Cricetulus griseus: one gene and its partner. The protein of the gene in region 1 purifies or fractionates together with the protein of each later gene. This does not show direct contact. Links are inferred from orthologs where the notes say so. Each region holds a gene or a part of one and is shown on either strand. Other genes may lie near its edges.

Region 1 (4,291 bases):
GCTTCTGAGGGCACCAGGCACACCCATGTTGCACAGACATGCGCGCTGGCTAAACACCCACATAAAATAAAAAACAATGCCCTCATGAGACTCAAAGAGTGTAGCGGCACTATTCCAAATCCTCCCCGGCGTGACACTTTCCTGTCACATTCAGAACAGCTGGCAGACATCTGAGCACTTTCCCGGATTCAGATTCACCTAATTCTTACACTAACTAGAGACGTTGAACATTATCGCCCTTCCGTAAATCTTAGAAATCCAGGTGCCCAAGATAATAGAACTCCTTATGCTGATGGCCCTTATGTTACAGCTGGAAGCTCAGAATTCTGGAAGCAGAAAGGGAGCAGGCAGACCACCGACCGGGGTCTCTGAGGAGAAGGTCTAAGCTCCCTGGGGAGGCTGAGCCCCACCTTTGCATGTCCTGCAGGTGACTGAGCTGATTCTGTAGCCTCTTCATGGGACCTTGCAGCCCACACTGCTGCCTTTGCACAGCCCTGCCTTTGGCCTGGAGGAGAAGCGTTCGATGCTGGGTTTCTTTCAGGCTCTGCAGTGTCTGTGCTATAGTCATGTCTGTGGGAGGAACAGGGGTGTGGTCAGCACCTCCCCCATCCAGGGTTTCACTGCCCATTTGGCTGGCCCCATAAGTCACCCTGAGCCTCAGTCTCTTGATCCATCAGCTCCAGGCTCTGGTCTAGCTTTTGGCTCTCTGCACGCAGGCGGGCCACAGTGGCTTCCAGCTCCAACTTCCGACGGACCTGGTGGGATCAGGTACAGGGTCAGAGGGACTTATTGGGGCCCAGCCTGGCTGGACTACCTTCTGGGATGGATGGCACAGAAGCACTAAGAGTCTAGCTGGCTCTCTCCCTCCTGGGATTACCTCACAATCTTCTTGGTTTTCTGTGTGGTATCTCCCATATCTCTGTCAAATGCTTTTTCTTATCGAGACAGGGTTTTGCTATGTAACTAGCTCAGCCTAGCCTTAAACTCACAGTCCTTTTGCTTCAGCGTCCAAGTGCTGGGATAAAAGGCAAGTACCACTACTGTAATTTAAGAAAAGTGGCTCTTGAGAGAAAGACGCCATGTTTTTTTTGTTTTGTTTTTTTTTTTTTTAATTAGGGACAGGCCAGTACAGATGCCTGAATACTAACGACCACCACACCCAGCTTCTGTCTTAATCTTCAAAAAAAATATGTGTGTGTGTGTGTGTGTGTGTGTGTGTCTTGTGCACACCAGTGGAGGCCAGGTGTTGGATCCCCTAGAACTGAAAATACAATTGGTTGCTAGCCATCTGCTCTGGATACTGGGATCTGAACTGGGGTCCTCTTCAAAAGCACCAAGTGCCCTTAATTGTTGACCATCTCTCTAGTGTCTTCCTCCCAGTCTTGACTTCTTTTTTGTGCCCCTTAGCAGCTCCCAAACCCATCCTTTCCCCATTGACGTTTGTCATTAAATTTAGCAGCTCCCTTTTAAGCAACTGCTGTCCTGATTGGCAGTTGCGACTCCCCAGCTACCAGTAATGGTTCAGCTCCCTATATTACCCAGCTTGTGCCTGTCTCCCCCTGGTTACAAATGCTGGGACTGCAAAGATCTGGGCTGTTTGGAGACACAGGGCCCCTGACATCCAGCACCTCTGGGGCCGAGAGCCAAATGTTTGCAAGCTCTTTTTTGGTTGAAGGAGAAATCTTACAGCACAGGCTTCTCACCTTTGAATTGTCCTGATGGCCATACCTAAAGAAATGAGAGCAGAGTTAGGGGATGGCTGGGGCTTCCAGAGTAGAGGGCAGGAAGCAGAGGCTATGGACGAGGGCATGGCTAGACGGGACTGGGGAAGACGGGGGTGGTGGGGGGTGGTGGGGGGGTGGGGGTGTGTGTGACATAAAGAAACAGTTACCAGAGGAGGTTTCCCCGGACCGTCTTGACACTCCTGCATTGGAGAGACAGAGGAAGAAGAGTTGCTGAGGCCTTTGACTATGGCTTCCCCTCCCTGCACCGGCTTGGCTTACCTTTGGCTACGCACGTGCTGCACAATGTAGGCCCAGATGTCGGCCCCCTGGCCCAGACACATCCTGAAGAGACAGGGCATAAGGTACGCTTGGGGCTATCGCCCAGGAGGAGGAAGACCCTCCACCATCCCACAGTGGTGGTGGTGGTGGTAGAGGAGGGCAGTCCCGAGAGTTCCCACTTCTGGGAGGAGGGGCCCGTGCTCCTGGGGGCGGAGGGTGCCAAAGAGAGGGCGGGCTTCTCTCTCTCGGAGCGTGAGGCTATTCCCATGCCACAGCGGCCTTCCCTCTGTCTTGAGGGAGAGGGCTGGCCTGAGGCCACTTCCGGAGGGGGATGCCCAAGTCTCCCCGCAGGAAACGGCCTTTCCTAACGGGGGCGATCAGGGGTCACTGTCCCTGCAGACACGGCCCCCGCAGGACGGCCCCTGCCAAGGGCCCGGTGTCCCCGGTGTCCCCGGTGTCCCCTTTGCTGAGGGTGCGGTGCTGCGGGGACCCCGTTAGCCCTGGACCGCCGCCGCAGGCGCCAGGGGCCCTGCCTGAATTACGCGGGGTCCCCGGGATCGCCACCCGGGCCCCCCCACTCCTTCTGCAGCGCCCCGAGGGCTGCGGACCCCAGGATGCGCGTCCCACCTGCGCAGCGCCGGCTCCCCGGGGACGGCCGCCCGGGGCGCCTCCATCTCCTCCGCAGCCCAGCGACTAAGCTCCCGCACTTTCTGCCTCAGGTCCTCCATGGCTGTCAAAGAGCTCTTCCCGCCCGCGACTCTTCTTTCAAGCCCGGCGCGCGGGCCTGACGTCACGGGCGCGACGCCGACGTCACCGGTTGCCAAGGCGACGGCGCAGCCTCCCGCTTCTAGGTCTCGGCGCAAGGACCAGAAGTCAGGTTAGGGATGGCTGAGAGCCGCCGTGTGGGTGAGGGGAATTAAACCGGGATTCTCGGGACGGGAGCCAGTGTTTCTTTCTTTTCTTTCTTTCTTTCTTTCTTTCTTTCTTTCTTTCTTTCTTTCTTTCTTTCTTTCTTTCTTTCTTTCTTTCTTTCTTTCCTTTCTTTCTTTCTTTTTTTTCTTTCTTCCTTCCTTCCTTCCTTTCTTTTTTTAAATCATTTTTTATTTGAATTACAAATAAGGTTTTATTACATGACAATCCCAGTTCCCTTCTCCCGGAGCCAGTGTTCTCAACATCTGAGCCGTGTCCCCGTCTGCTTTGTTGTCTTGAGAAAGGGGCTGTGAGGCCGGGCTGGCTAGAACTTGTGATCTTTCTGCCTCAGGCTCCCAAATCCTGGGTGACAGGCGTGAGCTACCGACGCTTGGAATTGTGGAATATCAGCTTAAGATGTGCTAGTTCGTTTATTCGGTGGAAAGATGTGTTCTTTAATGCTAACGTTTGCCTAACTCTGTGAAGCTGTGTTACCTTGCTTTCCTAAAACACCTGACGGGTCTAATAAAAAGCTCAGCAGCTGACAGCCAGGCAGGAGAGAGAAATAGATGGGGCCGCCAGGCAGAGAGAATAAATAGGAGGAAAAAAATCTAGGCTGGAGAGAACGGGAGGAGTGACAAGAGGAGGAGAAGAGGATGCCAGGGGCCAGCCACCCAGCCATTCAGTCAGCCACAGAATAAGAAGGAACGAAAGATATATAGATATATAAAGAAAGATAAAAACATAGTTAAAGAGAAACAGGATAAGTTAGGAAATCTAGCAAGGAACAAGCCAACCTAAGGCCAGGCATTCATTAGTAACAATAAGTCTCCATTTATTTATTTATTTATTTAATTTATTTATTTATTTAGGAGACGGGTGGCATGCCCCCAAAGAGAAAAAAAACAAAACAAACTAAAAAAAAATCAAACAAACTACAGTTTGCTTTCAAAAGCAGTGTCTCATGTCTGAATGGAGAATAAAAGGCAGAAAGGATAGCCTGTATATCTCGGTATGCAGTCTTCTGGGCAGGCTGGCCTCGAACTCACAGAGGTCTGCCTGCCTCTGCCTCCCGAGTGCTGGGACTAAAGGCATGCACCGCCACCGCCTACCTGGCTGTAGAGTCAGTTCTTGCCTTCCACATTTCCATGGGTCCCAGGATTGACTCTTGTTAGGCTTGCACAGCAAGCTCCTTTACCCATTAATGGGCCCATCTTGTTGGCTCCCTCAGATTTTACTCGTCATTTACAAAGCTGACTGTGCTCCGTGATTCTGGTGACACCGTGGTGACAGAGATGGGCTCAGTCCTCATTGTGGAGGGCTCACAAGTTCAGTGGGGGAGAGGGTGTTTCATGGGGTGGGGATGTTAAACCATAAGC
Region 2 (2,835 bases), on another chromosome or scaffold:
TATCTCTGCTCTCTGTTCATAACTTCTCCCCACTATTGCTATGGCCACATTAGTCTTTCTGACACATGTTCAGATTTTACTTATTCTTCAAATTAATTCTGAAAACTTTCTAAAATCTTTCTGTGTCCTATCCTGTTCCCAGTTCCTGTACCAAAAGTAGTTTTTCCTGTGATAAACAGTTAGCAACTCCTAATAATTTTATTTTATACTTATGTAAATGCAATCCTATGAAGTAAAAAGTATGTATCTTGCTAGGTGTGGTGGCATATGTCTAAAATCCCAGCACTTGGAAGGCAGTGGCAAAAGACAGTGAGTTTGAAGCCAGCCCCATTATATAGCAAGACTTGGGGGGGAGGGTGGGAGGAGGGAACCAGATGGCAAGGGAATAAAAAAATGGAAATGATGTCACAGTAAATTTTTTTGGTTTGTTTTTAAGACAAGGTTTCTCTGTAGCTTTGGAGGCATCCTGGACCTCACTCAGTAGACCAGGCTGGCCTTGAACTCACAGAGATCCTCCTGTCTCTACCTCCTGAGTGCTGGGATTAAATGCATGCACCACCACCGCCTGGCAGAGTAATATTTTTTAAAAAAGTTTCTTTTTGCTTTGAGACAGAATCTCATTTTGTAGCTTAAGCTAGTCTGGAACTTACTACATAGTGCAGGCTAGCCCCAAATTCCACAACAATTTTCTTCAGGCACCCAAGTACTAGAATTATTGGTGTAGGGCACCATGCTTGGTTAAGAAAATGTTTCTTTTGTTTTATGATTCTAATAATGACTACTCAAAGTGAAATTAGCCAAGCTCAGAAAGACAAACACCTTAAGTTTTGTCTCAAATGTGTATTCTAGATTTGAATTGTGTATCTGTGTGTAAAACAGAAACAGTGAAAGGAGAGAAAGACATATTAACAGATGAGAGGAGAGGGTAAAAAGAGTAAGAACACATGTGACATACAAATAAAAGGAGACACTATCCAGAGGAAGCTGGCAGGCTAGGAAGAACTGGATGGAGGAGACAGGAGGACAGCAGCAGATGAGAACACAGTACAACAAAGGGTAATCACACATCCATATGAGAATATCATGATGACATAAATACATTGCTTTGTTAATTTAGGAGTCTGAGGCTAGTCTGAGCTTTGTGAGACTATTGAAAAAATAAAATCAAAACCAAAAAGTTAAATGTGAAGGTTACACAGCTTTCTAATATATTCTAATATAAGAACTAACATATTCTAATATAAGAACTAAGGGCAGCTATTACTCACCATTTTCTTTAGGTTTGTATCTAAATGAGGGATATTTCTAATTGTTTCAAGATTGGTTTCCAACTTCTCGATGAAAGTCACAGCCAATTCCAACAAATGTACCATATATCTGAAAGAGAGTATATGGGTGAATGTAAATTTGTACCACAGGCTCCCGTGTTTGAACACTTGGTCCCAATTGGGTAATGCTGTTTGGGGACTTATTGGGCACAGGGACTAGTTGGTAGATATAGATAACTGGGGGCAGTCCTTGAAGGCGATCTCCAATTTCTGATTCATTAAGACGTGAGCAAGCCATTTCACAATCCTGCCACCACAGATGGAGTTGCACTAGCTGTGCATGTTACAGCTCTGAGGGGAAAGGATTCCCCAATGGAAGTGTTACAGCACTCCGGATGAAGGTTTCCCTACTGCAAACGTTACGGCTCTGCTGGGGGGCAGGGTGGGGTGTTTCTCCAGTGCAAGTGTTACAGCTGTGCAGGGAAAGGTACCCCGGCAGTCAGGAGCCAAGAACTACTACAACATTACATAGCACACGGACCTCACACAAGAGATGTGTAGGGAAAAACCCAGGAGGGTAGCTGCCTCTACTAGGGTGAGGGGTGAGAAGCAGTAGAGAACTGAGCAGAAGACAGAGTTTATATAACATTTCTTGGGGACGGAGCTTTCCAGAGTGGGGCTTGGTGGGTTTCCAAGTCCAGGGCATTAGTGTTCTGTGGGTGGAGCCTAGTGGTTGGAAGTCCTCAGGGGCAGGGACCATCCACTTGAACACCAACCACAAGGCCTTCCCTACAATGTTGGATGCACTACCTCTAAACTGTGAGGCAAAATAAGCCTCTCCCCAACTAAGTTGCTTCTGTTGGGTATTCTGTGACAGTGGTTAGAAAAGAAAAGCAATACAGAGAGAAAGTAAATTAGCTTTTCTTTTTATTTATTTATTTATTTATTTATTTATTTATTTATTTATTTAGGTTTTTCAAGTCAGGGTTTCTCTGTGGTTTTGGAGGCTATCCTGGAACTCCCTCTGTAGACCAGACTGGTCTCGAATTCACAGAGATCCTCCTGCCTCTACCTCCTGAGTGCTGGGATTAAAGGTGTGGGCCACCACCACCAGGCCAGTTTTTGTGTCTTTTACTGTTTTTCCTTTGTTAAATTTCAATAGAATTTTTATATATAGACAATAATAAATGTACTTCATAGAAAACAGTCTATACATAATAAAACAGATTTTACTGTGCTGCATGTTAGGGATCTAATATTTTTCTTTCTTTCTTTCTTTTTTTAAGATTTTATTTATTTATTATGTATACAGTCTTCTGTCTGCATGCCAGAAGAGCTCATCAAGTCTCATTCAAGGTGGTTGTGAGCCACCATGTGGTTGCTGGGACTTGAACTCAAGTCCTCTGGAAGAACAGTCAGTGCTCTTAACTGCTGAGCCACCTATCCAGCCCCGGGAACTAATATTTTTTAACAAACCATAATTTATAATTTCTAAAACACAACTGGCAAAACAAAGTCCTTTTTTTTTTCCAGTTATAATTATTTAAAAACAAAGGGCACTATCTAA

Evidence for each region. The genes of interacting proteins can lie anywhere in the genome.
Region 2: the proteins of Haus5 (region 1) and Haus2 purify together in Homo sapiens (affinity purification with mass spectrometry; 5 studies listed by BioGRID and IntAct, with this or other methods). This does not show direct contact. The link is inferred for Cricetulus griseus from reciprocal best matches to the Homo sapiens genes HAUS5 and HAUS2.

Annotation. Positions count from the first base shown.
Region 1 is NC_048602.1:5,155,449-5,159,739, reverse strand, and holds the start of Haus5 (HAUS augmin-like complex subunit 5), read right to left. Parts: upstream 2,801-4,291; 5' UTR 2,732-2,800; coding exon 2,631-2,731; intron 2,067-2,630; coding exon 2,004-2,066; intron 1,925-2,003; coding exon 1,892-1,924; intron 1,729-1,891; coding exon 1,704-1,728; intron 756-1,703; coding exon 650-755; intron 571-649; coding exon 411-570; intron 1-410.
Region 2 is NC_048599.1:57,857,603-57,860,437, forward strand, and holds part of Haus2 (HAUS augmin-like complex subunit 2), read right to left. Parts: intron 1,378-2,835; coding exon 1,269-1,377; intron 1-1,268.